Arabidopsis thaliana: one gene and its partners. The main gene of each other region encodes a partner of the protein of the gene in region 2 in a complex. Each region holds a gene or a part of one and is shown on either strand. Other genes may lie near its edges.

Region 1 (7,412 bases), on a different chromosome or scaffold from region 2:
CCTTCAAAAGGTCATTGTGTTTCTCCATTTCCTTATCTATCTGCAACAATACTCACTCCTATAAGTACACAACAACAACAATAAACTAACCTGAGTTCACTAATAAACACAAAATACAACACTATAAATACCTTCTTGACTTTACTTTCCAAAGATACCAGTTTCTGCTTCAATATAGGATCAGTTTCGGTATCAGCTCGGATTCTGCAACGCTTATAGAAATTAACACTGTACTTGTTCCATTCATCTCTTAAAACCAAATACGTCTTCCATTGTTTAACTTTAGGTTTCTCATTCAAGAAGAGATCAATAATCTTGTCACAAAACTGAGCCATAGTGTAACCTTCAGCAACCTCAACTTCCATTGGATCCTCAACAGAGCTTTTTACTTCCGCACCTAAACACAAAATTTCTATCTTCAATAAAAAAAGCTTCTCTAACTAGACGAATCCTAGTCTATGAAAAGGGTTTAGCTTATCTAATGGTGACAATTAATACAAATTGGAATCTAAAGAAATAGAATTTATTGGTAATTAGACAGAAAGATTAGAGATTTAGGGTTTATGAGCTTACTTGTAGTGCCATTGTAAGTGACAGTGTCGGTAGCAAAGGTGATAGTTGAGCTTTTGCGTATCTTTCTTCCTCCATTGATGAAAGCAGAGAAAGGGAGATGATGGGTTTGAGAATTCTTAGGCGGGAAAGACAGTAATTTATCAGCAGAGGAGAAAAAGATTGATGTTTCCAGTAAATTCGCCATTTTTTCTCCCTCACAAAGTTCGTCTTGGTGACGAACAACGAGAAACACCAGAGGATAAGAAGAACAGGGTTTTAATTGTAAATAATTAGTAAACGTTGACAAATTCAAAAACTTAATATAACTTTTTGGGTAAAAATGTTAAAACTAACAAGTTTTGCATCAGTTTGAAATCTTTTTAAAAAGAGGCAAGGAGTAAGGAACATGAATGAGCAAGACCAGAATTGAGTTTCTTTGACATTACATATTCACATGACCTTAAGACCTTACATTAACAAGAAAAGACAAAGAAACTTAAGATTGATTATTACAAAAATAATTATAGCATATGTCATGATATATACATATGTTACTTTGTGATAGACAAAATTAAAAAGCATACTACAATATATTTATATTCCCATTACATGATTATAAAATAGAGTTTGTTTCACTAAGCGTCCTCTTGAGGCTGACCATCTCCACCACCTTCAATGTTACTGGTATTGAATTGTACACGAGGCTTTCCCATACTGAAATTAAGAACTCTTGCATCCATATTGTATTGTATTTCTCCATCGAACAACATCTTCCTTATGTAATGTTCTACGTCCGATCCTATCAATCTCAATGTGTACTCCGTTAATGGTGCTCCCTGTTCAAAAACAATATTATAAGGTCTTCTTGAAATGAGTCTAACTTTTAGATGAATGTTTCGTTCGTTTATTGTTATCGTTACCTCGTAGTGATCGACGAGTTCTTGGAAATAAGAATAGACCTTGTTACAGCTTTCATCATCCCACACAAATTCTTCAGTAGGATCAAGAATCAAAGTGAGTTTATCCATTTGTGACTGGTCAAACTCACAAGTCTCTGGATCAATATAAGCAGCGTAGATCCTAACGTGACGTGTGACACTGCTTAGCCACTGACCACCAAAATCGCCCATACCCTTGCTCTTCACGTTCAGCTGTTTCTCCACTGGTCTCAATGGTGTTGGCTGCTTCTTCATCTTCTCTGTTGATTGCTCTTCTTTGAGTGTCTCTGTTTCTTGTACTTCAAGAGTACTGTCTTGTTCCGGATTTGTCACCACGAACGCCTTTTGTGTTGTTCTTGGTCGGATTTGAGCAACCATAGAAGGATGTAATAGAGAAAGCTTGGTGCAGGCAGTGTAAGAGAATGCTGCAACCATTTTTCTGTCTAAGAAATGAAAAAAAAAAAACAGAACAAGTTTTGAGATGTTGTCCGGTTACAGAACCATATTCTTGTAAAGAGATTTGATGAGGTTGAGAAATGACCACAGCTTGTGGATGAGCCTCTCCCAACTTCTAGTTTCTTATTTATCCCTTTCTCGTTTTGTTGGTATTTTGTGGTTACTCTTAAGTCACTTGTGAGCTAAAGACAATCTTCTTTAGGGAATTCACTGTTTTGTTGTATGTGTTTTTTTTGTCTAAGTATATTTCTTTTTGATGTATAGAGAGAAAATTTAACAGATCATTATTTTTCGCATAGCGTGAAAATAGAGTTTTACATGTATCATCTATACATTCCATGGGAATTCAAAGCATAACAGAAAACACTTGTGGGGTGAAACAGTTTAGTTCTTGTACTTCATGGTTTCTTTCTCAAACCCAATTGTTGGGAACTGCTTAGCGAATTCCTCGACTTCATGGCGCAGTTTCGCAATCTCGGATTGGATGGTTGAAGAGGATTCCATTGCTGACACGAAATCCTTCAACTTGGTTCCTGGTTTTAGAAACATAACAAATGAGTTCAATCATTGTATATAAGAACGGAAAGCATAGCATCGTGATCAGAGAAGTAAAAACCTTGAGCTTCAGATTTGACTTTGAGAGCTATTGTCACAGCTTTGTCGAAGTATTCAGCTACTTTGGCAAAGTCTTCCTCAACAAAGCCTCTGGAAGTGAGAGCAGGAGTACCTGAAAATAACAATGGCAGAGGATATCAAGAAGAACTCCATTCGAATACCAAAAAGAAAAATGGTTAAATGTGATTTTTACCCATTCTGATTCCACCAGGAACCATGGCAGAAACATCTCCAGGAACAGTGTTTTTGTTGGATGCAATGTGAACAGCTTCCAACACTTTCTCAACTCTAGATCCATCAATTCCCTGCAAACAAAATCGAATAAAAAATGAGTTTTAACTAAGAAATATAAAAGAAGATTATATACAAAAAAAGATCAAGTGACCTTGGGCTTTAGATTCACTAGAACCAGATGGTTGTCAGTTCCACCAGAAACAAGTTCATATCCTCTCTCCATTAGAGTCTGCACGAAACAACAATGTAGAGATATAATCAAAGTAGATACTACGCCATATGTGTTTTTCTTTCCTTCACGGGATTAGTACCTGAGCAAACTTTGCACTGTTACTCAGGACTTGTTCTTGGTATGCTTTGTACTCTGAAGTAGTTGCCTGCATTTTCAAACCATTTGAAGGTTACAGAAACCGCAAATCCAATAAGCAACGTTAGTTCCATTCCGTGCCTCACCGTACCTGTTTCAAAGCAACAGCTAGTCCTGTGATAGTGTGGTTGTGTGGACCACCTTGAAGACCAGGGAAGACAGCTTGGTTGATCTTGTCTTCAAAATCATACAAAACCTTTCAAGACAACAAATGAATGACGTGAAAGATTATACATAAATCTAAAACATTTTGGTTCAAATTTTGCTTCTTTTTCTTTTTTACCTCTTTCCCTTGCTTGTTAATTTCCTTAACACCCTTTCTGAAGAAAATCATGGCTCCACGGGGTCCACGAAGTGACTTGTGAGTTGTGGTGGTTACAACATCAGCATAGTCGAACGGTGAAGGGATTACATTAGCAGCAACCAAACCACTGATGTGTGCCATATCTGCTAGCATTACAGCTTTTTGCTTGTTACAGACCTGGGAAAAGAGTTCGAATCAAAACTCACTACTGATTACAATAATCTGTTCTGTAGTTGGATATGAGACTGAAATTACCTTTCTGATGCGGGCATAGTCATACAATCTAGCATAAGCACTTGCACCAGCAACAATCAATTTTGGCCTGAAAAGAGTAGCACTTTTCTCCATCTGCAAATCAAAATTAAAGACTTATGTATTGTTATGAAGCGGGTTAGTTATAAGTTACTATGATTGCTTAATAGAAGAGTTAAGAACCTGATCGTAGTCGATGTAGCCAGTGCTCTCGTCCAATCTATAGGGCATTGTTTCAAAGAAGATAGACACAGCTGATATCTTCTTGGTGTCAGTCTGATGAGAAATAAGAAGAAAGAAACTGTTATTCATCAGAGTCAGAGAGTTCCGAAATGACATACAAAGTTAACTTGAAGGCACCTGATAACCATGAGAAAGATGACCACCATGAGGAAGATCAAGTGCCATGATTCTTTCATGAGGCTTTAACAATGCAGTGTACACATGGAAGTTGGCAGGAGATCCAGACAAAGGTTGAACATTCACTGTAAGATCCAGTCAAATAAGCCATCAAAGGACTAATCAGATTTCTTGTTTCTCATATACATGAAAGTAGTAATTTACCTCCCCACTTTTCAGGATCTAACCGGAAAGCTTCAAGAGCGCGCTTCTGGCATAAGGTTTCTGCCATGTCTATATACCTACAAAGCAAAAGGTACTTGAGATTTCAATTCTTATTACAGAGATTGGTCAAGCAATCATGTCCTGAAACTAAATGTGTCAGATTGAAAATTCCTGAACATACTCATTTCCTCCATAGTATCTGGCACCAGGATAGCCTTCACTGTATTTGTTAGTCATGACAGACCCAACAGCTTGCATCACCGACACAGATGTGAAGTTCTCAGATGGAATAAGTTCAAGTCCCTATAATAACACAAGCGTTACAAACATCAGCCTAACTTATAATAATCAATCAAGGAACAAGATTTAAGAGATAGTAATCTCAGAGACAAACTAACCTTCCATTGTCTAGCTTTCTCATGCTCAATAATGTCAGCAATCTCAGGATCAACCTCCTCTAAAGGTGCGTTAAGCTGTTTTGGCCACTGAAACGAACGTTTACAAAGACATAAGTTTCATTAGATTCAGTCACACCAAAAATAGAACTCCATACATCAATTTGAAACAGACATAGAACTTCAACAATCAAAACCATTGCTTCAACCACAAGGAAAACTATAAACAAACAAGAGATACAAAAAGGCGCTTAAACTCACAGTGACACGAGATCTTTCCTTCTCATCAACAGCTTCACTGGGCAAAGAAGACTGCAACGGAACAAACAGAAATCAGAAAAAAAAAAAAAAAAAATCGAAAATTTCCAATCCGATTATAAAATTCGGAGATAAAAGGAAGAAACTTTAGGGTTGTTACCATGTAACATGAAGTGGATCGAATAAGAGGACGAATGGGTTTGTCAATTGAAGAAGAAAGCCTTCGAAGAGCCATGGCCATCGCCATTTTTCGCTAAACCTCTCTCTATCTCTGGTTTGTGAAACCCTAGAAACAGATTTGAAACATGAACGAGAGAGAAGAGAGAACAAAAATAACAAAATTGGGTTTATCTTGTTTGAGAGAATTGTGGCCTCTGCTTTTGGCTGAGCTTTTGGTGGTTGCAGCAAATTTTCGAATTTTTTCCCTCTTTTTTTATTTATATTTTCTTCTGATTTTTATTTTATATTTGTTGTTTCTTTGTCGTTATCTCTCAGGTCCCTGTCTACACCAACCTTTGTGAATTGTGATGATTTGGTGACGACGATGATTTGTTTCCCTTTAAGACAGAACCTTTATTGGTTTCTGGTCAGTGCAGTCAACGATAACCGATTCAGTTATCACACATCAATTTAATTTATATAGTTTCCAAACCGGTTAGTTTGGGGGAATAAGATTAACAGAATTATGGTGAATTTACAAAATAAAACCAACAAAACAAAAAACTTAACAGAAAATGTTTATTTAACATTTTAGAATTACCAAGTGCATGGTTATATATATTAAACAAATTATTGATCTAAGAATATTGATATTTGAGAGAGTTTTGAGGATAATAATTCATATGATTTTTCTCTATTAATTGACGAATCTATGGTTATAAACAAGTACAATATTAATACTCAAGATGAGTATAACAACACCGGATTTTAATTATATATGCTTTAATTATATTTAGGATTGAAAATATGACTATGTTAGAAGAACCATGCTGCTTATCGTACGTGGCTTGGTGTATAGAGGTTTCCAGTTCAAGAACCTTATTCAAACCAAGGCCTTTGGAGTGTTCTTCAACATCATGGTATCTTCCAACTTCAATCTGTGAAAGTTTTTAACGAGTTACATAAAATATATAAAATGCCTAAATGGTGCATGCATGTTTGTGAAACATCAAGATCAATTAAAAAAGTTTACCTCTCTGTTATTCGTTTGCTCTTGGTGGAGTGTCATAATCGGAATGTTCAGGCTGGCTTAGTTGCAGCCGAATCTGAGTGTGTGATTCATCATCCGCAACAGCTACTTCACGGTGTGTAAACCCGTTTGTGTTTGCCATATAAGCCTGAAAGTCGAAGCCATATCACTTCGAAGCTCTTACTCCAAAGAAAATGGAGTTTTTGTAAAACATGATTTGTTACCTTCTTGTAGAGCTCCACATTTTCTTGATGAATCCGTTGTACTTTCCTAGATAAATCGAGGTTTTCCTGATGAATAAGATTCCTCTGCACCACGATCAACAAAAATCCCAAAATTAGAATTGTAACTTTTGGTAGGGGATATTTGTGTGTGTCAGTGTGTGTATATATATATCTCATCATAGTGACCTTTTGGCTTAGTTCTTGGATTTCTTGAGTCAACAGTTGTTCCTGTGAATCCGGAAAAGCAATCGTTCTATTGATTTCCGTTGTGTTCTATAGTCAATCTTTTGAGTAATACACTCCAAAGCATATAATAGAAGGTAGAGTATATGTATTTATGTACCTTTCTCATACGAATTCCACGCAAACTTATCTCAATTTGATTCTCAAGACTGTTTAGCTCGTTAACACTTAAACCATTTAGCTGTTCTCCCATCATTTGCCTGCTTCATAGCAAACATACCGCAATCCATAACTACAAGTTTCTTCATTTCCTTTACATGCCTTCTATATTTTGATCAAAGACTAATTCTTAATACAAAATGTTATAAAAGTTCAAGGCGATACCGATGATTTTCTTGCAAAGCATGCAGTTCTTGTCTTAGAACAGCAGCTTCTCTCTGCCAAAACTGTAACACACAACACAAATAACTCATCAAACTTTGAACAGCTCAGTAAACCAAAATCTCATTTCAAAAATCAAACATCATGCTAAAGCATCAATCAATATATAATCACATATCTTTAGAGTTGTCGCTATATCTATATGTATACCTTGACTTCTGATGCGGGGTTCAATAGTTGTTGTTGCTCGATCTTGCTCTTGTTGTATCTATCAATAACCGACTTCATGCTATTCAAAATATTTAATATTAGTATACCTTGTTCATGGTATATAATTCACTCATATCATATCATCTCTTAGAGTAAATTACGTAAAAGATATTAATTTTCGATCGTGAAGTTTTTCCAAGTACTCCATTAAAAAGCTTTCATACGTAAAGAAAAAACTCATAGCCTAGAAATTTGTGCAATATAGACTTTCCTGCATTGGCAACATTATT
Region 2 (8,852 bases):
GAAGATGGGTTGTTATCTGTAGATGAGAACCGAGAAGGACGTGCAGCTGCGTTTGGGGATGACATAGCAATCGAGTGTCTAGCCACTGAGTTCAAACGAGAAATCTATGTGGTGAGTAGTTATCTGATGTAACAAGTTTGTTACTTTGGTTGTGTTTTTTTTTCCCAAATGACATCTAAGTAAAGTTGTGAAATGTTGGTGTTATAGGTGCAAGCGCATGGATCAGATGGGATGGTAGAGGAAGAGAACTGTGTGTTCTTTCTTCCTCACAAACCAAGAAGTGAAGTTCTTGAAGTCCCAGTCTTTCTATTCATGAAAGGCACTGGTAAATAACTAAACACCATTTGATAAAAAGTCTTCAAATCTATCTCATATTTTTGGACTTGGTAATTACTAAACTCATCTCACTGGTTCAGGTTGGTGTGGTGGTGGAGCAGACCATTACGAGCCCTTGATAGCGAATCCATCTCCTCTGATATCTCATGAGAAAGTCGCCCTCGTTCTCTGAATTTTGGAGCTTCTTCAAAATCACAGTTTTTGGTAGTTTTTTGTTATTGTATTGGTAGAGAGAATCAATCATGTTAGGGAGGAGAGAGAGATGAAATTCGCTCAGGTTATTATTAGCCTGCGAGTTTGAGCTGTTTTTTTTATCAATTGTTGTAGTTTGAGAAGAAGAGTATTTGATTTTTTGTTCGTTATTGGGGATGAAAACGGGAAATTCTCTTTGTCTGTTTCAGAGTTGTGGCTGTAATGTAAAAGAGTGTAAACTCATAAGTTTTGTTTGAAATGAAAAGTTCTCAGAACAGAGCAAAATCTTCAGCTTCCAACTAAATTTGCATCAACCATAATGATCATCTACGAAAGTAGCTAAATAGAGAAAGAAAGAAAGCATCTTTGAGAAAACGTATATTCGGAGATGTCTCTGTTATGAAAAAAAAAGAAAGAGAAAGAGAAAGCAAAAAGGTCCACTTGAGGTATTGGTTGAATTGAATATTATTTTTGTGTGCAGACGGGCTTCACGTAGCCATACCAGCACACCAGTGAGCATTTTAATTTAGACAACAAAAGACTTAACCTTTGGGAGATCTCAAAAGGTTCTCTTATTTGCAGTATCGCCCCTTAAATCCTTTTTCGATGTTTCTTATGTTCATCATTATTTTTTAACTAAAAATCTCATCTTTAGACAACAATTCAATTTGCCATCTCTCTGTTGTATCTTTGACGATGGCGGCTTTGTCTTCCTCCGTCACCACCCGATCATATCATTCCGGTTATTTGGCTTCTTTCTCACCGGTTAACGGTGACCGACATCGATCACTCTCGTTCCTGTCTGCTTCTCCTCAAGGATTGAATCCTCTTGACCTCTGTGTTAGATTCCAGAGGAAGTCTGGTCGTGCTTCTGTCTTTATGCAAGATGGTTAGTTTCATTCTATCTTTGTTTTCCGGATTAGAATTGACCAAATCTAAAACCAAGCTTATTTATTAACTGCACTTGAATCTCTGAATACAATTTCATTAGGCAATTAGGTGTCTATGTGAATTAAATGTGATATTGATATCAGTAGAAGAGGGGTTGTTCTGACATTTGGATTGGGTGTTAGGTGCAATAGTCACTAATTCAAATTCATCAGAGAGTAAAACTTCTCTTAAGGGATTGAAAGATGAGGTGCTATCAGCTTTATCTCAAGAAGCAGCCAAGGTTGGAGTAGAATCTGATGGTCAAAGCCAGTCAACAGTTAGTATTACGGTGGTTGGAGCCTCTGGTGATCTTGCTAAGAAGAAGATTTTCCCGGCTCTTTTCGCCCTTTACTATGAAGGTTGTCTCCCTGAGGTATTGCCAAGAAGATGGTTTTCTTCTCTATGATTTGCTATTTTGATCGCCTGTGTGTGTGTTTTGCACATTAAAGTCTAGTGATTGACAATTTGATTTTGTTGTGTGGCAGCATTTTACAATATTTGGATATTCTAGGAGTAAGATGACAGATGTTGAACTTAGAAACATGGTCAGCAAAACCCTCACTTGCAGAATTGATAAGAGGTTAGCAATTGTAGCTACTGAAAAGTTTCCGGTTTTTGTTTGTCAAGACAAGTCTTTATGCTTCAATTCAGTTGGATATGGGTTTTTGAAGATAATTAACTCTGAGTATTATGTCATTGTTCCATTTGGATTTCAGGGCAAACTGTGGTGAAAAGATGGAAGAATTTCTCAAGAGATGTTTTTACCATTCTGGTCAGTATGATTCTCAGGAACATTTTACTGAATTGGATAAGAAGCTCAAGGAACATGAGGTATTGAACATTTGTTCTCTTCAAATCAGTAAACTAGAAAATTGGAGTCTACTTCTTTTACATAGTGGTTCTTATCCTTTGTATTTCTGTAGGCTGGAAGAATCTCAAACCGCCTCTTTTATTTGTCTATCCCTCCAAATATATTTGTAGATGCTGTGAAATGTGCAAGCACTTCTGCTTCATCTGTCAATGGATGGACTAGGGTTATCGTCGAGAAACCTTTTGGTCGAGATTCTGAAACCTCGGCTGCTTTAACGAAATCCCTCAAGCAGTATTTGGAGGAAGATCAAATTTTTAGGTGAAAGATAAATGCACTTATAGCTTTGTTTTGTTGCAATGATAATACTATTGGATGCTTGGCTGATATGATATTTTGTTGCAATGATGATACTATTGGTTGCTTGGCTGATATGATAATGAAAATGTGTTCTTACAGGATAGACCATTACCTAGGAAAGGAGCTAGTCGAGAACTTATCTGTTCTTCGATTCTCAAACCTTATATTTGAGCCGCTATGGTCAAGGCAGTACATAAGGAACGTGCAATTTATATTTTCTGAGGATTTCGGCACTGAAGGACGTGGAGGGTAAAGTGCCTGTTTACCATTATCTAGCTATTCATGTCTCTTCTGTATTGAAAGCTTATGTTTCCTTCCTGTTCTCTTTTGCTTAATTCAGGTACTTTGACAATTACGGAATAATAAGAGATATAATGCAGAATCATCTGCTTCAAATCTTAGCCCTCTTTGCCATGGAAACGCCTGTTAGTTTGGATGCAGAGGATATCAGAAATGAAAAGGTATGATAATTTCTTTCACTTTGCAATTTGGGTTTGATTCAAGAAAACATATAATGAAAGTCTCATGCACAATTCAGGTTAAGGTGTTACGTTCAATGAGGCCAATTCGAGTTGAAGATGTGGTAATAGGACAATACAAGAGCCACACAAAGGGAGGAGTCACATATCCTGCCTACACCGATGATAAAACTGTACCAAAAGGTAGTCTGACTCCAACATTTGCAGCTGCTGCTCTTTTCATCGACAATGCAAGATGGGACGGTGTGCCCTTTTTAATGAAAGCGGGCAAAGCACTACACACCAGGAGGTAGGTACCTAGAACTTCGCACTTGTGGAATTTTGTATATTGACTCTTACTGATAAGTAAAATTACAGTGCAGAGATAAGGGTGCAGTTCAGGCATGTTCCGGGGAATTTGTATAACCGGAATACTGGTTCTGATCTTGATCAAGCTACAAATGAGCTTGTGATCCGTGTCCAACCAGATGAAGCAATCTATTTGAAAATCAACAACAAGGTCCCTGGTTTAGGAATGAGATTAGATCGCAGTAACTTGAATCTTCTATACTCAGCAAGGTATTCAAAGGAGATACCAGATGCATATGAGAGGCTTCTGTTAGATGCAATAGAAGGAGAAAGAAGATTGTTCATAAGAAGTGACGAGCTTGATGCAGCTTGGTCGCTATTCACTCCATTGCTTAAAGAGATTGAAGAGAAGAAGAGAATCCCTGAGTACTATCCTTATGGTAGCCGTGGTCCTGTTGGTGCTCATTATCTAGCTGCTAAACACAAGGTGCAATGGGGTGACGTCAGTATTGACCAGTAAAACATTTTCTTGTTTGTATTCTCTTTTTTTTACATTGATAATAGATTTATCTAGGATTCAAGCTTTTTCTACGCCTCTTTTTACAGCTTTAATTTGTGCAATTTGGTTATGTACCATTTAATAAATAAATAAACCAAAGGGGTTTCTCTTATTCTCTACAAGGAAAATGTCTTCTTTTTATGGTGTGCTCTTCTAGTATTCAGAGATATCTTGTATCTAGAAAAGGTTGACCAAAAAGAAAGAACACTAAAATACAAACATGTGATAGGTACAAGTAATTATATTGTTCATTAATCTGAAAGCAGACTTTATATACAAATTGATCGGATACATGTTCAACAAGTCCGCTGTAGCACACATGCCAATTTCACAACAGAATTTGAAATCCGGGCTCAAACCTCGGCAGCGTAATACTTTTTGGTTCAATTAGTTAGTTTTCAATAAGATATCAGACTTTAAATACAAATCACTCATATACAAAACCAAAAAGTCCGCTGTAGCACACAGGCCAATTTCACTACTCAATATGAAATCCGGGATCAAACCCCGGCAGCGGAATACTTATTATTTTAATTAGTATTGTTTTCAATAAGATATCAGACTTTAAAAACAAATCCCTCGTATATAAATCAAACAAGTCCGCTGTAGCACACAGGCCAATTTCACTACTCAAAATGAAATCCGGGATCAAATCCGGGCAGCGGAATATTTTTTGTTTCAATTGTTGTTCTTACTTTTTTATGAAGAGATCGGACTTTAAATACAAATTGCTCGTATACCAAACCAACAAATCCGCTGTATTACACAGACCAATTTCACAACTGCATCGACTACTCTTGAATCTTCAGATTTTGTATCTTAGTAATGCAACTGAACCGCTATAACACAATGGTTAATTTCGAAACAAACCAATGAAATGAAATATGAGTTCAACACCCGGCAGCGGAATACTATTTCTTTCTTAAATTTTTGGAAGAAGGGGATACAAATCCATTACACAAAAGAAAGGGTTGTAAAATGCAAAAACAAGCTCCATCTCATGTCTACAAGATTTTGGTTAAATGATCTTACTTTTAAGCTTCAGACATTGGAAGTTGACCACAGTCTGCTATCACCACTTTCTTTCTGGGACGGTCTCCTCTGTCTGTCTCTTGTTCCTCTATCAGCTTCACCACTTCCATTCCTTCTATTACTTGCCCGAACACCACATGTCTTCCGTCCAACCATGACGTCTGTCCACATCGTTATCGCATATTAATTTGATATACACTAAATTTCCCAACAAAGCTTGGATGGTTCTTCGTTTCCAATTTCAAAACTCTACTCTTTAGGTTATATTATTGGATTCTATATACTGTAATACCTGTGTTCTTTATTGTTGATGCTCGCTTGCCTACGTATAACTTCTAATTTAACAATAGGCCTTAACCAGAGGGAGATTTTACCTTAATAGTGCAGATAAAGAACTGACTTCCATTTGTATTAGGGCCAGCATTTGCCATACTTAGAACTCCTGGTCCGACATGGGATACTGCAGCGTATAGCACATTATTACTTTCATGAATTTTATAAAACTGAAGGTTTGGTATATATTATACTCAGCTCAGCTAAAAAGAGAATGCAGAAATGTTTAGTTAAAATGCATTACCACTGATAAATATGAATGCTAAAGCACAGCTGGGGAGAATGAAGAAGAAGGAAACAAGTGAAAAAGGATAGACTTACACTTGAAATTCTCATCCTTGAATGTACGGCCATATACACTTTTACCTCCAGTTCCCTGCTCAACAATTAGACTTCTGTATCATTATTATGGAATTCTCCTAGCAGTTACTAGAAGAATCTTCGGTAACTGAGATGGGCAGAAACAGAAAATAACAATATATTTCTACCGAGCTACAGCTAGTTGCATACCCACGAACCAGTATATAAGTTCCCTACAGCCCAGGTATTATCTATATAGAAAAGAACAAAAGTCTAAGATTAACAGGGGTTGTTCTTCTAAAGCCACTGATCTACAAATCAGAGAGCCAGCTATCAGAAAGATTGTCTGTAGAAAGCTCTCCAAAGGTCAGGCTTTTTCCTATTAATGTACCCAAACATGTGCTTTCAAGAGCGACTCTAAATCCGTACAAGTAAGAACTTAAGCATCCTTCCTTATCGAGAAAGATTTGACTTATACTATGTACCACATCCAAGAAATTAATAAACATCCTGCCATCCTGATATGAGACAGCTTACTTTACTTTGTGATTTGGCAGAAAATAAGATGAACCAAAGTAAATCAAAAGAAACATAATATGGACCGCAAGTCAGCTAACAAGAAACTGGTGCTGCCAAGGAATTCAGCCAGAAAAACTCACATTGCCCTTCTCAAAGTCTCCTCCCTGAATCATGAAATCTCTGATGACACGATGGAATGTAGAACCCTTGTAGCCAAATCCCTTTTCACCTGTGCATAGAGCACGAAAGTTCTCCACAGTTTGGGGAACATCATCACCATACAATCCAATAACAATCCTCCCAGCTAACTTCCCCACTGGATTGCCAACACTTATATCGAAATACACCTTGTGTGTTATTTTCGATTGCGGTTCAGTAACCACCTGGAATACAAAATCCACATCATATTATGATTCCATAGCTTTTAGTAAATCTAATGGAAAAAAAAAACTAAGAGTAAGCTGAATAAAACAACCAATTCCATCAAATGACATCAGTGACTAACAAGATATGAGAGAATCCCTAACCTCAGCATTGGATTGAACAGAGAAACAGCGGTGGTTTCTTTTGGTATAAGACGTGTGAAGGAGGAGCGATGAGGCGGAGAAGGGAGTTGAAGACGAGAACGAGATTGAATCGAAGGAAGATTTGGTGCGCAATCGGAAAGAGGTAGATGTGAAAGCGGAGGTATTGATCGGAGAAAGTCTTCGTGGAGGAGCTGAGAGCGACTTCGGATTTGACTATGATGATAACCGAAAATTAGAGCAGGAGAAGCAGAAGAAGCGGAAAGGTAAAACAAAATCAAAAGTACAAAAGGGAAAAATTAAACGCACCAGAGTCATCGACAAGGTCGCCATTGGAGCTCAAAACTCTTGCTCGCGTTTGTTGGCAAAAATGGTAGGTGAAGGTGAAGGTGACGATGAGCGAGTGATAGCACGAAAGAGTCTGAGAAATACATTCCATGGTTATTTACAGTTATGCCCCTGCCGGTTACGTGGCTTCGCATCGAGTCAATTTTGAGTGGGTCAGGTCAGCCGATCCTATGAAGCATATTTACCTGTGCAAAGTGCAAACAAAGAAAAACTCATCGTATCAAAATGACACTAATCTCATAAACTAAAATACAAACCTACTATAAGAAAATAGTGTGTTCACTATTTCTGATATTTATTTAATATAAGAAAATAAAACCATAAATACAAATCAAAAATATTTTTTCAAAACAAAATATGCATCGCGCGGAAATTAACCGAGTCATATAAAAAAATTATAAATTAATACAGTTATAAGATTATATGTTGTCATTCATTACGGAAATAGAAGGTAGAGTTGATCTTGGGCTCAAGCAAGTAAAAGGCATCAACAATATTTATATAGTAGTAAACGACATCAATTTTTTTGTACCATGTATAATTTAACGGTTAAACGAAATATAGTTCAGTGTTAATTCCGTATAACATGAATTGGTAACATGCTCAATTCTCAAGACTGATTATTTGCAATTTTTTTAAAAAAATTGGGCTTTAAGCTTTTTAAAAAAAATCTAACTTCATGTTTTAATCCATATTATTGATACAAATTTTCTCTTAAAATTAGTATTTATATGGTAAAATTTTGAAAACATATTGGAAATTTCTTAGAAGTTACAAAAGTTTAGTGACAATATGACGAAATTTTTCGATGAACAGTTCTAAAAAACAACAAAATTGTGTAAATCTAAAGAATATTTATTTCAAAAAGGGAGAAAAAGAGGGAATGTCATTTGTTACTAAACAAAATGTAATAAAGTTATAGTAGAGAGGCTTTAGAGCAAGTTAAAACTAATTAAACCTTGTATCTGAGACCAACTCCAACGGCAGCCTCTAAGGGGCTTTTGAGGGTTGGTCCCTTGAATTATATAGCCCAAAATAAATTAGAAATCAGTTTAATTGAGAGGGTTGTTTCTCTCTTACGGTATTTTTCAAACAACAAAGGGACCCTACATGGCAAACTTCTATTGGTGGAGAGGGAAGAGAAGGAAAAATATGACCCAATTTTTTTCTTTTCATTTCGGTTGAATTGTTTTCATTTCGTTATTTCCATTTACGATGGCGATGTCAATGTTGATGAAAGATGATATGTGTCGAGCTCCTCATCATAGGGCGTAATAATCAAATCAAAGACTAAATTGAAAAAAATCGTTTGGTGCATCTAAATTCATACTACCAGAATCAACCATCTCTTCACAAGTTATTTTAACTACTCTACAGATATGTCTTCAAATCTCGGTAATTTTATGGTCTCTCGTGCTCGAGTTCGTGATCGGGCTATGCATCAACAATTGAAAGGTGATTTGGTTGAGCATATATAACACAAATTTGGTGGGAATCAAACTAACTACTAATTGTTATTCCGATTCTCAATATTCATTTCTTGTAGGTTTAAAATTTTAGTATTTGTATTAATTATTAAATTTTATAAAATAGAATATTTATAATTTTCATTTTAATAATATTTTTTACTATAAGAAACTCACTAAAAATTTCTACCATTAAACCAAGAAAAATTAAGAGACCAACAAAATCTCTTAAATTCAAATCTCAAATTTTAAAATTAAAAAAATTGGAAAAAACCTATTAAAAGTTTAACCATTAGGGTTGCTCTAATAACACAGATGGGCCTGTGAGTTACGAAATTGGGGCCGGGAAGCTGGACGGTTTTATTTGTAAGTCGCGCC
Region 3 (7,462 bases), on a different chromosome or scaffold from region 2:
CAAATAGTAGCAATTGGATACGGTGGGTGGCAGCTTTGCAACATGTTTCTTATCTTATATTTTCAAATTTGCACTCCTCATGTGCATCAGTGCATGTAACATGTGATGTACTTTATACGTTCAATTTATTTCGTTTAGTAGAAAATAAAATATTTCCACACCAATCCAAGTTTTTACGTATTAAAAAATATGTATATACCAATTCCATATCTAAATAAAAATAAAAATGCATATCTAGTCCGAGGGTATTTGAGGAATTTACAATAACCAACCAAAGTGTATCAGAGAGAAGGAAAAGAAAAACATTAATTTCGCCCAAGATATGCCGTACAAATGGGTCCCCTCCGTTGGATCCATAAAACGACGTCGGTGTAAACGAGTATGACTACGACGACTCTACTACGAGTTGCGAACTGTTGGCCGGAAATCAATTTCGTCGTCTTCATCGACTCTTTCTCTCCCTGAATTTTCTCTGGCATTTCGAATTTATAGAGGTACGCGAGTCAAATAATCTTCACTATTTACTCTTCAAGTTAGTAGTCATCGATACCGCTTGACTCGCCGCTACTTTTTCTATTCTTCTGCGTTTTCGATCTTTCGCGGTTGCAGTAGTTTACGGCGCCGGAGTTAGATTTCGGACTGCGAGGATTTGTTTGAACTTTTTAGAGTCCTTGAGTGGGATCGAGGTTTTTTGCTTTTGTTTTGAGTAAATTTCGTAATTGTTTGAAATAAGATTTGGGAATGTAGATAGATCTCTGCTCTTTAATGTTATTGCTGTTGAACTCTCATAGTAATGTGTTTATCTTACCATTTCTACTTTGAAAGGGTTTCATTGGGAATACTTAATACTAAGCTAGAGGTCGAAAATTCATCTATAATCTTATCTTTGGTTTTGTAATCGCAGATGCTAAACTTATGTTGTTTGTACTTATAATGGCGTCTTCTTTGTTACTTTTCAGGTACGCATGGCTGCCAAGGCTTTAAAAGATTTGAAGAATCTTCCTGTCTCTGAGAGGAATATCGACTATAAAACAAAGCTTTTGGTTGGCAAAATGAATGGAACAGCTGAAGATAAACCACCACAAAACTCTGTCCCCTTTGATCACAATCATCCTAAAGGCGATGAGATTGAGAAACCTGAGGCAGAGAGAGTTATCGTAGAAATTGAGTATATAGAATCCAAAGACTTGAACAATGTAACCCAAGTTGATGCAGTTCTCAAGGTATCAATTGTTTTTTCCTGCTAGTATCCTATGCTTTACTGTGAATTCTCATTTGTAATGCTGCCTTGCAAATTTGCAATTATATTCATCTGTTTAGAATTTGGACATTGGAAGTAAGTTGTTTACCTAATACCATTCTGGAACTGCTTTCTTTATTATTCCAGTCACTTGTAACCGAGCTAGACTCCAAGGATTGGGTTTTGGTCTGTGATGCTCTTAATACCATTCGTCGTCTTTCCATATTCCACAAGGAAGAAATGCTGCATATGCTGTAAGTCATTTTCTTTCTACTCGTGATTATGATCAGTTTTAGTAGAGCGAGTTACACGTCGAGAGAATTTTCTAGTCTCACGCTGTCAGCTCTTACAGGGAGAAAGTGATCCTGTTTATCGTGAAATCACTGAAGAACCCAAGAAGTGCTGTAAGTAAAACCGCATGTATGACATCTGCTGACATCTTCAGCTCATATAATGACCATACAATCGATCAATTGGATCTCTTGGTAAATCATCTTTTGCAGATACTCTTGGAATTCTCCTCAAATAGCGGACATTTGTGTGTTCTTATAACAGTAACTCCGAATTCCCTTCTTACAGCTTACTCAACTCCTCCTTAAATCTTCCCAAGACAAGCGATTTGTTTGTGAAGCAGCAGAAAAAGCATTAGTAGCAATGACTGCACATGTTTCTCCTGCCTTGCTGTTGCCAAAGCTTCAACCTTTTCTCAAGAATAGGAATCCTCGGATCCGCGCAAAAGCATCCACGTGCTTCTCCCGATGTGTTCCCCGACTGGTAAATCAAACTGCACTCGATATCATAAAACCAGTCTTGTTCTTTTGTTTTGGATTTGTCATGTCATCACCATGACAACCAATTTGGATCCAGTCCATGTTCCCACCAACATCACCTTTCTTTGGCTGTGTAATCATTAGGGCATTGAAGGCATTAGAGAATATGGAATTGAGAAACTAGTCCAAGCAGCATCGTCTCAGCTCAGTGACCAACTCCCAGAATCTCGGGAGGCTGCACGGGCAGTCTTACTGGAACTTCAGACAGTGTACAAGAAAACTACTAATGTCGAACCGAAGGAGGAGCATCCAGAGCCAGTCACTTGGCAAATCTTCTGCCAATCAAACCTCTCACCTCTTAGTGCACAGGCTGTGATACGTGTCACCAATGTCGCAGGTGTGGCTCGAGAGGGTCTTGTTGCGGGTTCATGACAGTCACAAGCCCTCAGTTTGATATTGTAAGCCTCTGTGAGTAAACGTTGTACGACCACTGTTTCTCTATCTTTGGTTTATGGGTTTGTTTCTTTATTTTGTGTGTGAATATGTCGATGTGGTAAGATAAATCTCAACGACTCAACCGTTAGTTTTAGGCAAAAAGTTAGTCGGTTTATTTGATATATATCATGTTTTAGTCTATATTACATTGGTTTTCTTAAAACTTTTTTTTTTTTTGGCCAAATGTTTTCTTAAAACTAAGATTTCAATATTAAACATTTAGTGCATATACTCTTCTTTCTGTATCTTTGATTGAAAAATTAAAATCCAATTCGTTATAAATTTGATCATATTTTGGTCTATACATTACATTTTTTTTTTTTGATTACTAGATCTCAATATTTTTCCGCAAAGATTACAATTTATGACCACAGAGTTATCAACCATGTAGGATCATCAATAGCAAGTAAACCGGTATAAACCGAACCAGGATCATGCCATTCTGGTCATTACCTCTTGAAGAAGAAACTTTGTATCTTTATAACACGATTCCGTCTCTGCTAAGTTCTTCGTCTTAGCTGCATCTTCAAGCTGTGTCGAAACACCAAGAAAACAACAAATAAACATATAGGATATATCAGAAAAGAGAAGAAATTTTAAAAAAACAATAGTCTCTTCGGTTTGAACGAACCAGGACTTCATTAGTACACTTACCTTTTCGAAATTGTCGAACAATCTGTTGGCTAAATCAGTGAGAGGTTGCTTGTCTTCAGAGGCAGCAGCAGAGATGAGATTGTCGAAATCGTAAAACAAAAATGTGGATTTAAGCCTCAAGTACTTTTTCACATAGTTTAAAGTATCTGGTCCGATCAAATCCTCCATTGCCAAGAGATCAAAAGCATTCTTTTTAACTCTATACATTCTTCCTTTCGTCCCGATATCCGCTACATACACTCCTTTCTTTATGAATGTTCTCGTTCCCGTCTTCTCATTCACGATATCTGTATATTCAAATCGAGGACGAATTCAAAACCGGAAATCAAATGATTCTACCAAATCGAATTCTCATCTTGAATAGTTGTATGGCTCAAAATGTTCAAACATTTGAAGAAAGAAAACAATCAAGAATATAAAATGGCGCTTACTGTTGTAAATAGGAGGAATTGGAAGAGGACCATCAATCCAAAACCCATTGTCTTGTGCCAAGGAAACATTATTTTCGCCGAGAATTCCGGTAAGACCTATTGAGACAGCAAATCCTAATGTCATCCGTCTTGTGATCTGTACCGAATCCGGTTCTTGAAATTCTTCAGTTCTCCTGCAAGCAAACCCGCTGGATTTCCCGGTTTTACGACTCTCGGGTAGTTTCGGAAGAGACGGTAAAGTGTTGGTGAGACTGTTGAGGTCTATGAAGTGAGCCATTGCAGTTAGAGAGTAAGCTTTAGGTGTCAGCCTCTGTTCTTGTGTATTGTTTACGGTTTTTATCCGTTATAAATGAGAAAAGCGGCCATCACAAAGATTTTATCTGAACCAAGGGGTGTTTTCGTAATTCAATATTTTAACTACTCGCTGTTCCTGAATTGATAAAGTAGAGTTCGTGCCGTTTTACGTGACAAAAAAAACTTGTATCTTCTTTGCTTTTTCCTTCACCGATCTGTATTGCCGAGTGTCGCCGATTCCCCAAAATCTTCCCTCCGTTGCTGATCATAAGCACGCCGTTTCCAATCGAAATTCTCCGTGTTATTTCATCGTCTCTGCCATCTTCACTGTCTCGCGTCGCCGTGTTCGATTGAGGTACTCCCACTGCTCCGATTTGAGTATTTAGGGTATGTGTATGAGTGGATTTGACGGTATTGTGATATATCTCAGTTTGGAGTTCTCTCTCTCTGGTCTAAAAGAAATCGTGGAGAGTCCAATGGATCCGCAGACGCAGAACACTTCGTTGCAGCGACTCCAGAATGTTGAGAATGTGAAATTTTGGAAAACTCACTCTTTCCTTAGAGATTTTATTGGACGATTTGATGTGAATGTGTTTTTGTGTTTTTATTTTTGGTTTTCCGGGCAGAGAGTTGTTAAGGTTTTGGAACTAGCTGGTGGAGTGATGGAAGAACTCGCGAGCCCTTCTGGTCCCAAGAAAGAGTTCGTCAACAGCCATTGCCGAGAGTTTATGCAATCTATGAAGGTTTCTTACTCTATCTCTTCTTCAAATATTTTCTGATTTCTTTTGCATTAGTGTATTAATAAACTACCTGATCAAAGAACATTGGGGATCACTTGACACAAGTCTAGCTAGATTAGTGTTCTTGCTGACTCAATCTCTCTGGGGAATTGGTATCTTTTCTCGAGTGTTGATCGTTTGGGCTAATTTGACACAAGTCTATATTAGGGTTCATTACATTTCCTGATCAAAGTTAAGGGCTTTGTTTAGAATTTTGATTTTGGTTTTAGTCTTCAAGATGGCCGCTGCTTCTCGTTTTGTGATTCTTCTGTGACTAGTTAACATATGGGTTCATGTATCACAATCTCTAGGTTTGTATTCCTTTCCTGTTTCTTAGGATTTGACATTGATCCTTTATTCTTAGGCTTAAGGTTTATGAGTGATGGATGCTGATATTTTCATATTGGATGGAATCTCACTGTTTAAAGAACATTTGGGCTCTCATTTGACACATGTCTAGATTAGGGATCATTACATTCTGTGAACAAGTAAAAAGCTTTTGATTCTGCTTTTTTTCTAGAGATAATCATAAAGTTTGAAGATATCAGCTTCATTGTCTGGTTCATGAACTTGTTGATCTTTGACTGTACATAAATGTGCTATAATGTTATCGCCAATCCATAATAAGATGAAGTTCTTGTGAAACTTGCAGGATATACAAGTGACACTAAGGGAAGAGATCAAAAGCGCTTGCGAGTACCGTCCCTTTGAGAAATGCGATTACAACGCGAGAATAGCCAATGAGATCTGCTTCCAGAAGCTTGAATATGTTCTCACGCAGCTTGAAGATCTGAAACAAACTGCTGACCGGTATCCTTCTTCTGATTGATATTGGTATTCATAAAAAGGTTACTTGAAGAACTATACTAAACCATCGGTTGTGATATAGTTTCCAGATGAGTTGTAGACTTGTAGGTTATCCCATTAAAGTATGTCCGGTTTTTACGAATGAGTGGCTTGTTGCAAAAGTAAGATATTATCCTACTTACTATATTAGATTTTGCAAAAAGATTAGGTGATTTTGGTTAGAACATTCACTTGCAATGAATCTGTTCCAAGAATATTAGATACATTACATCCACTGGGAGTTATCAATTTCAGCTTATGGAGAAATCGAACCAATTTTGGGCCAGAGAGAAACGGACCAATTTTATTGCGGTTTAATGTATCGATCAATACTTGGAACCAAATGTGCTAACGTCAATTACGTATATGAACCCCTTCATTCATATGTGGTTTAATAAATTAATAGCATCAACAGCTGAAATTCCCGGTTAGATGTGATAAAACCAAAGCGGTTAAAAAGGGTTAATGAGAACCAATATTGCCGGGTTGGCGGTTACGCCGTTTTGTGCTCTTCTGTTTTAGTTACAGCTCAAGAGACGCGTTGATTGGAGAAGGTGATAGAAATCTCTTGGGTAGAGGGAGAAAATTAGGGTTTAGAGTTGGAGATGAGAAGAGGAACGACGATCTAAGGAGACAAAAGAGAGTAGCTAGATCAGGACGAAATTCCATATTTCCTTCGTTTCTGTTTCTCTCTGAGAATGAGTCATCAATCGCCGCCGATCGCTGAAGTTGATGCCACCGACGATATGCACGAGGCGTTGTTCGCGAAGCGAGGTTGTTGTTTCCTCATGCCCTGCCTTGCCTCATCTCAGCCATCAACTCGCGGCGGATCTGTGTGGTGGCAACGGATCACGACCGTCGACAAACTCGAACCCGACGAGCGATGGTGGATCCGAGGGTGGCGGAGGATGAGGGAGTGGTCGGAGCTCGTCGCTGGACCTAGATGGAAGACGTATATCCGCCGGTTCGGACGCAGCAACTGCTGTGGAGGAGGAGGAGGGAGAGTCGGAAACAGCAGCGGAGGATGCGGAGGTGGTGCAATGCCTAACCGGTCATCGGATCAGGGTAAATTCCGGTACGATCAGTTGAGCTACTCGTTAAATTTCGATGACGGAAATCAAACCGGACATTTTGACGACGAGTTCCCGTACCGAGATTACTCGATGAGATTCGCTGCGCCTTCCTTACCGGTTTCCACTAAATGCTCAATTGATTTCGATAGCGACATTGATAACAAGTGAAAGCCACGCGCTCGACTTTTTATGTTGTCGTGTGTGAGACCAAAATGAGATGGCATTTTGTTTCTTCTTCCAATATTTTTTTATAAATTAGTATTGACTATTGAGTATTATTCTGTCATTACCAATGTAATTACAAAGAAAAGCACCTTTCATCCAAGAAAAAATTTAAATATAGAAATAATTAAACAATTTTTTTTTCAAAACTCTAGAAAAAAATAAAAAATTAGGAACATAGGGAGTAAAAATTTTCAAACCATCAGGAATTAGGTTCATAGGATTTGGATTAGGGTAAAGCGTGTAAGAATTAGTGTAACACTAAGATTATCAGGATTTGGATTAGCGAAAATCGTGTAAGAATTAGTGTTCCACAACTACAAGGATCACTCGTTGATCTGTTTTTTTATAGGATCGCTTGTGTAGCCACCTCTTTCTCCTTTTATGGAATTCATGATGATATATGATCAATTTTTCTCTGATTTTTGTAGTTACCCGTAACCATCCATATTTGCGACTCTTTATTTCTTTGTCAAACAAACTACAATCTTATCTTTTCTTTTGAACTTTTTTTCTGCCACGTATGTTTCCTTGTAGTTGATTTGATCTTACCCTATCATGAATTTGGAAAAAGTTTACCTTTTCGAGGGACTCTATATATATTTGGAAATCACTGACATCATCAAGCACTTTCACCACTTTTGTAGATTCGGAGGAG
Region 4 (8,075 bases), about 13 Mb from region 2:
GAGTCCCATTTCAAAACCCGCGACTAGATGATGAGCGGAATCATCGACCGGCACAGTCCCAATTCAAAACCATTTTGCAGATAGAGAATCATACATTCTCTGTCACTCTTCTATATTAATACCGGTTGACATTGCAGCTGCAAACAAAGAAGAAGTTTGAGTTGTGGTGGATATTTTCAGAAAAACCAATTAGATATAAGATTGAGGATTTTGCTCATCATAAAATAATCTATAACTTAAATGTAGTCAAAGGAAAAACATTGCACTTTCTTTATCGCCTACTACTATATTTATTGTGAATAAATTTTAAGATAATACAAAAAAAACTATTGAACCTCATCAGAAACTAATTCACACTTGATTTTTCCTTTTTGACCAAACGAATCAAGAAAAACATTGCATTTTCACATATGTTATATCATTATCAAAGAGGTTGTAATTTCATAAACAAAAGTCTATATTTTATTTTTTACATTCTTTTTTCGTTAAAAGGCTTATAAAAGTCTATTATTTACACTTTACAACATAGTATTCACTTAAATATTTTCATTATTCTATCTAAAACTAATTTGTATATGAAATCATAACAAACAATTAAAAATACAGTTCAAAACACCAAAATTTGCCCCAAAAAAAGAAATCCAAAATTTGATAATCGTTTCCGATCGAGTTCTATTTGACTTTGTATTGACTTGCTTTGGTCTGGTCTCATCTTTAAATACCACGTTCTAACCATTCTTCATGATTTTATTCCCGCGGCTTTGGTGAAAAACGTTTAATTTTCTTAAAATGATGTTGTAGACAAGAAAACTTTGTGTCATTATCAAGAAAATAAGAAATGATGCCATTCTACCAACTCTGAACTTGAAAGCCGAAGAATCGTCACAGATAGTTTTTGTCGTAGATGTGTCATAACGAGAGAAACTACGGATCATTTGTTCTTTACGTGTCCACACGCTCGCCAAATATGGAGAGCTTCGAACATTCCCCTTCCGAGTCTATCAAATCCCCAGGTGCATTATGAAACAAAAATTAAAGAGATTTATGAATTTCATAAAAATGCAGGACAACATACAATGCAAGGGCAGCTACCTATCTCGATCCTTTGGAGAATATGGAAAAGCCGTAATAAGCTAGTGTTCCAACGAAAACAGAACGATTGGTGGAGAGATATCAGAGATGCTACAAATGAAGCGGAAGAATGGATCACAAATGGCTTATGTGCGCAAGTTCCCACTCCGAGTACGACTAATGGCACAACTAGGCAGTTTCAGAGTCAGTGGCAAAAACCACATATGGGATGGATTAAGTGTAATTACGATGGCAGCTTTGTGAATCGAGTTCGTGGCTCTACGGCAGCTTGGATAATTAGAGATGATAACGGCGTGTTCAAAGGGGCTGCTCAAGCGACAGGTGCGACCGTTTCCTCAGCCTTTGAAGCAGAATGTCAAAGCCTAATTCTTACCATGCAACAATTATGGATAAGAGGCTTTAGAAAAGTAATACTTGAAGGCGACTGCAAGCTCCTAGTCAATGTTCTGAATGGAAGAGGCTCAAGATTTGATGCTATCAATTGGATCCATGAAATCAAAGTTTGGAGAAATAAGTTTGACGCAATCAAGTTCACGTGGTCACACAGATCAACAAATCAACCTGCTGATATTTTAGCGAAAAACCAGAAACATGCTCTGTCTTCATACATAGTTCATAGCTTTATCCCATTGTGTATCTCAAATGCTCTGTTTTCAGACTACGTTTCCTAAGTAATAAAAATGAAGTTCGTGTTAAAAAAAAAAAAAAAAAAATGATGCCATTAACTCATATCATAAGTTCATAACCCAAAACTAAACTATCGTTTCATGTGTACTAACTACTTGTGAGATTTTCACAAGTCAATAACATGCGTGTGAATCTTTAACGCGTGCGTGATAAGTTTTGTATTTATATCATCATTTGGTATGTGTCAACACACAATTTGGGGAGAGTTTGTGTGGTAAGTAATGCAAAAATATATGTTTGTTATATAACATAGAACTGATTCTAATTGCTAAGAAAATTCCTACCAAACGAAGCAATTACGTTCAACAATTATTCTTAGAAGTTTGAAGAAACCATTCTCTACCACTCCACAATTCTTTCTTCTTCATTGGTTTTACAAATTCTACCTTTTCAAGTCATTCTTAAATCTTAAATAAACAAAACCAGTTTGAATTTTTTTTCGTAGTTGGTAGAAAAGTGTGTTCCAAAATGAGTTCTTTAGAAAAAAAATATTTCCAAAATGAATTATGATTTTTAATCTCTCTGCACCTTTAGTTATATCGGTAAGATATCTCAAATTCTTCAAGCAAATTATGGTACATATTTTCTATAGATAATATTGAAGAAAAAAGGAGCTTAACTAGTGTTGATTTCAACTATCGGAATCAAATATATATTTGCATTTCATTAGACACTAAACCTTTCAACAAAAAAATAATAATAATTCAATAAACACTACATGTGTAAGTGCATGTCACATGGATTACAAATCATTAAGCTAATATCTTCGATGAATTAAGAAGATAAGTGGATAACAAGTACCTAACCGCAATAGTCCATAAATTAAAACATTAATGTATTTGTCGTTGAAAATTTGGCCGACTTTTATTTGTTATTCTAGTTTCCACATCAAAAATGTTTGTACTTCGTAGCAATCCATCCACCTAAACCCCAAATCTTAATTTATATTTGTTGCGTTTAAATTTGGGTGAGATTTGATTCTAAGTAGTTGAGATAAATTGATATTCTATTCATTAGTAAAATGATAGAGAAATTGGTTTATAATAATTTTACCCTAGAACATGACATGATATTGGTAACCATTAATCAAAGAAAGAGCAAAGCATTTAATTTACCCTACTCTCCAACCACTCCAGCCTTTATTAGTTGCAGTTGGGAATCATTTCTTTATGATTCTTATGTCATTGTCTCCTAAATCAATGAAGTGCCTTGACCTTGTTACTAATTCGAACATAGCAAAGCCAACTACATAGATCCTTTACAAAGTTCTAAAAACAGGTTGTTTAGGCGTCTAGACAAACAAAACCATTTTGTACGATTCAACAAATTGGTCCATAGAATGTTATTGATCTTTCTTGTTTAGGCATTCGATAAATCGGCTAATACATTATTTTTTTGTTTTGCTTTTTCCTTATTAAAAATATGCAAAGTATTATGATGTTTAACCTGAACTGAATTTTACATTTAACTGGATATAGGAAAATATTGGGTTGAATTTAATAATTAAGCAATTGTCACGTAAATCAAATTGGGCTTAATATATATTGTTGATTTCAGCAAAGACAAAGTTGGGCCGTTTCAATAGTCTTCACGCGATGTAAGCGTTCACTAACCAACTAGAGAAGACAATCAAATGAATACGTTCCACGTGACGCTTACGAACTTGTCAGTCACTTTGGTAATATGACAGACAGTAACCAGTAAACTACTAATCTCTTTCGCTAACGAACACACAAAAAAAAAAAGAACCGTTTTTTCTTTCTATGGCTCCAAAACTCTGAGACAGAGCAAGAAAAAGATAAAGTGAGTGAAAAAATGGCAACGGTCACGATTCTCTCACCCAAATCGATTCCAAAGGTCACTGATTCCAAATTCGGAGCTAGGGTTTCTGATCAGATCGTCAATGTCGTAAAATGCGGCAAATCCGGCCGGAGATTGAAGTTAGCGAAGCTGGTCTCAGCGGCTGGATTGTCACAGATCGAACCAGACATCAACGAAGACCCGATTGGTCAATTCGAGACTAATAGCATTGAAATGGTAAAGATTCAATTGATTTTAAATTCATAATTCTGCTGAAAGTTGTTTCTGATTGGTTAGCGCTTTTGTTAATAGGAAGATTTCAAGTATGGATATTACGATGGAGCTCATACTTACTATGAAGGAGAAGTTCAAAAGGGTATAATTTTGGTTTCTCCTATTGATTCTTGTCGCTGTTTCGATTTTAGAGCTATAATATTTCTTTGTTTGATTGATTGATTAGTCTTCTTGGAAATGTTTCTTAGGAACATTTTGGGGAGCAATTGCTGATGACATTGCTGCTGTGGATCAAACTAATGGGTTTCAAGGTATGAATTTAACCCGCTTTTTAGTGCTTTTTATGTACCGCAGATTGATTGAAAACTCGCGGTTTTTTTATGTCTGCAGGTTTGATCTCTTGTATGTTTCTTCCTGCTATAGCTCTTGGGATGTATTTTGATGCTCCGGTAACTTCAAAATCTTTTGCTTGCTTCCAAAATTTATCATTACTAGTTTTATCGCTTTTGTTTTGTGGAGGACGTACAAGAGATTAGATAATTAAGCCAAGTATGAGAAGAAAAAGAATCACCAGTGTTTGTGTGTGTGTGTTGCAGGGTGAGTACTTGTTCATAGGTGCAGCGTTATTCACGGTAGTGTTCTGTATAATAGAGATGGATAAACCTGACCAGCCACACAACTTCGAGCCTCAGATATACAAATTGGAGAGAGGAGCTCGTGACAAGCTCATTAATGACTACAACACAATGAGCATTTGGGACTTTAATGACAAATATGGTGATGTATGGGATTTCACCATTGAGAAAGATGATATCGCCACACGATAAGATAATGGATTGTGATCTCGTTATAATCATGACTTTTGATGTAAACTGTTTTATAAAATTGATGAATGAACGGGGTACAATGTGTATAATATTGATTGTTCATTCTCTTATTTTTCTTTAGTACCATAAAACCTAGATTCTCATCTTGTAGTGTTAGGTTTCTGTTCTTCACTATATGTTTTTTTAAGATCTAAGTACCTCGTATGGACCCAACGAGTTTCCATACCCATCATTAGTTCATACAATGGTGGATAAACCATACAATTTGAGGTTGACGTATGCCACACGCTAACTTCATCCCCTGGTCCAAACACAACAATATAGTGTTCCAGTATTGTGGAAGAGTCCGAGGAGCTAAACACACCTTCGAGTTCTATCGAGTTGGAACATCAAGTGACAAACCAGCTCCACTCCTAATCCCTAGTCTCTCTACAAGAAAATGCTTTAACGTATCTCTGACACTTTCTTTAATATTGTGCAAACTATTCGTAAGTTCCATACCAGTTTTTACTATGATACTAGATGAGTACCCACGCTACGCGTGGGTTTGTTTTGAAAATTGTTAAAAAATATTTAGATTGATTGTTAGTTTTGCTAATTTATGTTTATTTTTGTATTGTTAATGAAATTAGATCCATATTATTTACAATTTTTATGGTTAGATTCATTTGTAACTCGAAATATCAATTTCTAATTTTCATGTATAAAGCTATTTATAAGATGTTAATATTTGTTCACTATCAAAAATACATATAACAACAATATATGATATTTTGATACAATTATGTGTAACCATGTTACTTGTGTGGTTTAAAATTTATCTTACTCGATTATAAATAAATCAATTCTTTGTTTTATGTACTTCAACAACATTGTGATAAGCTCATGATTAAAGTTTTGATTGACTTCAACTGAACAAGATCTGAAGAGTATTCGTATGAAAAAGGGGTATGAAGAAAATAAAAAGATAGCAAAAACTAAATGTCATTTAAGTCAACACTTTTAGATCTTCTGTCATTGCATATATCAATATTAGAAAAATGATCGTGTTTTGCATGATTTGAAAATTGTCTAACTTGATTATAAATAAACTATTTTTGGTTTATGTATTCCCTGATATAATACTCCAACAACATTGTTATAGGCTCATGATTAAATATATAGAATTAATATAAATTGAACAAGATTTCAAGAGTATTCATATGAAAAAATAAAAAGAAAGCAAAAATGAAAGTATCATTTAAGTCAATACTTTTAGATCTTCTGTCATTGCATATATCCATATAAGAGAAATGATCGCGTATTAAATTATTTGGTAGGTCTTATAGAGTAGTGATTATTGCTATAAAAAAAATTTAGTCATTATAGAGTAGTGATTATTGCTAAAAAAATATAAATAAAAAGAATATAATGAAAGTAGTGCTTAATTTATTAACATATTTTTTTGTTTTTTATTTTTATTTTAAAAAAATCAATCAAGAGTAGGATTGATGATACATTTAATTTGTTTATTTAATTTTATTAATTTTTAGTTTTAAAAATATCGAATGACACATGTCATTTTCTTGTGTGATAATGTGTCATTCATATGGAGAGAGTTGGTCAACTTTCATATATATGATTTTAAACATAGATAAACCCTCTTACTATAATATTCTCTTATTCATCCTATTTTAATTAGTCAATCAAAACATTTCATACTATATTTTAAAATAAATAAAAATTAACATGAAAAAGGAACAAATTAAAGAAACAAAATGTGTATACTTTTAATTAAAGAAAATTAAATATCGGTTTGTGTTTATAACTAAGAGTTTGATTTTAGATTTTACAATTAAACAACATTATATGTCGTTTTGGGTTTATAAAAAACATTTAAGGTTTAGATTTTACAATAAAAATAAATTATATGTTGGTTTGGGTTTATAAAAATGAGGTTTAAGGTTTAGATTTTATAGTTAAACAAAATTATATCTCGGTTTGGTATTATAGAAGAGTATTTAGAGTTTAAATTTTACAGTTAAACAAAATTATCTGTCGGTTTGGATTTATAAAATGGAGGTTTAGGGTTTTGATTTTATAATTAAACAAAATTATAAGTCGGTTTGGATTTATAAAAGAATGGTTAGACTTTAATTTTTTACAATTAAAGAAAATTCTATGTCAGTTTGGATTTATAAAAGAATGGTTAAGATTTAAATTTACAATGAATTCAATTTAGTGGTTTTAATGAATTAAGCTTTTTATATATTTAGGGAGATTAATTGTTTTAATTTGTTTAAATATATTATATGGTAATTTTTGATTGGCTAATTAAGAGGGGGTGAATGAGAGAGGTTCACTCCTAAATGTGAACCCAAGAATTATTTTAAAATAATAGACCACTACCACTAAAGACAATTCTTGGGTTCACCCATAGGGGTAAATCTCTCTTATTTAACCAATCAAAATACAACAAATATGACATGTTATACTGTATTTAAAAATAAAATTTGGCGAAAAAATTTCAGTTTCTAATTACATGTTTTCATTAGCTGATAGGTAATTTGGTCTTTCAATAAAAAAATATTTTTTAAAAAGGCCAACATAAAACAGTATTGTTGGAAATGTGATATAGAAAATAGTATTTTTGCAAATCCTCCATTATTAATCACCAATTTTGTGCCTCAATAGATATCTTAAAATGAGTTTGAGTGCAAAAATAATACAAATAGCCCATTTTGATCCGCATTTTCAGGACCCAGTTTAACATCACCAATATTATTGGTAAGGCAAAATGATTAATGTTATTATATGCAACATCACAATTAAAATATAAAACATAAAACACTCAACAAAATAGTTGACAGCATTTATTTTGTGCAACAAATAATTGACAACAAAATGCAAATATATGTGTTTATAAAACTCGGAATGGATAAAAGGTTTAGCTATGACCTTTTAGTGAACATATGAGCTGCACAGGTTTCTATATGATCATTACAAAAAATGTATATAATACGTTAAGTCAAAGACTTAAAACTTATGTATAAAATGTGTAAAGAAGACATGAAAATCAAGTTCAGAAATATTGTAATCTTTTCACACAAGAGCAACCAAAACAATTCAACCATAAAAGTGAAAGATTATGCCCTCCACATGTGAGTCCATTTCAACATTAAGATAGTCACATGCCAAAAACAATGGCTAAGAAAAAACAAAACAAATATGGGTTCTTACAAAAGGACGAAATAATCAAAATGGCCTAGAAATATTACTATATTATTCTATTTCTTAGTTACAATTTTTATTCTTTTTGGTCAAGCTAATATTTTATCCACAAAGAAGTCTAACTAGTTGATTCTGAAATGTACAAATTGTTAAAATCAAAATTATGTGATAATATAGAATAATATAAATTCAAAACAAGTATCACATTTTTTTTCCAGAAAAATA

What was found.
Region 1: Pnsl5 (region 2) and NdhM share a complex: the UniProt entries of both Arabidopsis thaliana proteins name them as parts of the chloroplast NDH complex.
Region 3: Pnsl5 (region 2) and PnsL3 share a complex: the UniProt entries of both Arabidopsis thaliana proteins name them as parts of the chloroplast NDH complex.
Region 4: Pnsl5 (region 2) and PnsB5 share a complex: the UniProt entries of both Arabidopsis thaliana proteins name them as parts of the chloroplast NDH complex.

What each region holds. Positions count from the first base shown.
Region 1 is NC_003075.7:17,829,561-17,836,972, forward strand, and holds NdhM (subunit NDH-M of NAD(P)H:plastoquinone dehydrogenase complex), read right to left. Parts: upstream 2,060-7,412; 5' UTR 1,926-2,059; coding exon 1,473-1,925; intron 1,389-1,472; coding exon 1,188-1,388; 3' UTR 973-1,187; downstream 1-972. Other genes in the region: AT4G37920 (endoribonuclease E-like protein), read right to left, coding at 1-40, 132-397, 574-757; SHM1 (serine transhydroxymethyltransferase 1), read right to left, coding at 2,331-2,479, 2,563-2,673, 2,755-2,866, 2,947-3,024, 3,107-3,172, 3,254-3,358, 3,446-3,643, 3,722-3,814 and 7 more; AGL21 (AGAMOUS-like 21), read right to left, coding at 6,135-6,272, 6,349-6,432, 6,535-6,576, 6,692-6,791, 6,916-6,977, 7,123-7,201. UniProt on the Arabidopsis thaliana protein: NDH shuttles electrons from NAD(P)H:plastoquinone, via FMN and iron-sulfur (Fe-S) centers, to quinones in the photosynthetic chain and possibly in a chloroplast respiratory chain.
Region 2 is NC_003076.8:4,157,728-4,166,579, forward strand, and holds Pnsl5 (cyclophilin 20-2), read right to left. Parts: upstream 7,197-8,852; 5' UTR 6,994-7,196; coding exon 6,970-6,993; intron 6,877-6,969; coding exon 6,664-6,876; intron 6,520-6,663; coding exon 6,277-6,519; intron 5,694-6,276; coding exon 5,639-5,693; intron 5,445-5,638; coding exon 5,359-5,444; intron 5,146-5,358; coding exon 4,987-5,145; 3' UTR 4,647-4,986; downstream 1-4,646. Other genes in the region: AT5G13100 (Gap junction beta-4 protein), read left to right, coding at 1-111, 208-325, 417-508; G6PD2 (glucose-6-phosphate dehydrogenase 2), read left to right, coding at 1,225-1,417, 1,602-1,831, 1,944-2,038, 2,175-2,289, 2,382-2,587, 2,726-2,875, 2,967-3,087, 3,165-3,394 and 1 more. UniProt on the Arabidopsis thaliana protein: NDH shuttles electrons from NAD(P)H:plastoquinone, via FMN and iron-sulfur (Fe-S) centers, to quinones in the photosynthetic chain and possibly in a chloroplast respiratory chain.
Region 3 is NC_003074.8:164,883-172,344, reverse strand, and holds PnsL3 (PsbQ-like 1), read right to left. Parts: upstream 3,938-7,462; 5' UTR 3,868-3,937; coding exon 3,591-3,867; intron 3,447-3,590; coding exon 3,160-3,446; intron 3,037-3,159; coding exon 2,938-3,036; 3' UTR 2,683-2,937; downstream 1-2,682. Other genes in the region: AT3G01450 (ARM repeat superfamily protein), read left to right, coding at 966-1,223, 1,388-1,494, 1,593-1,725, 1,820-2,014, 2,155-2,442; AT3G01435 (uncharacterized protein), read left to right, coding at 4,361-4,627, 5,316-5,492; AT3G01430 (NHL domain protein), read left to right, coding at 6,208-6,750. UniProt on the Arabidopsis thaliana protein: NDH shuttles electrons from NAD(P)H:plastoquinone, via FMN and iron-sulfur (Fe-S) centers, to quinones in the photosynthetic chain and possibly in a chloroplast respiratory chain.
Region 4 is NC_003076.8:17,576,665-17,584,739, reverse strand, and holds PnsB5 (NAD(P)H dehydrogenase 18), read left to right. Parts: upstream 1-3,464; 5' UTR 3,465-3,594; coding exon 3,595-3,816; intron 3,817-3,891; coding exon 3,892-3,955; intron 3,956-4,061; coding exon 4,062-4,124; intron 4,125-4,203; coding exon 4,204-4,262; intron 4,263-4,409; coding exon 4,410-4,640; 3' UTR 4,641-4,873; downstream 4,874-8,075. Other genes in the region: AT5G43755 (non-LTR retrolelement reverse transcriptase-like protein), read left to right, coding at 968-1,013, 1,180-1,413, 1,513-1,763. UniProt on the Arabidopsis thaliana protein: NDH shuttles electrons from NAD(P)H:plastoquinone, via FMN and iron-sulfur (Fe-S) centers, to quinones in the photosynthetic chain and possibly in a chloroplast respiratory chain.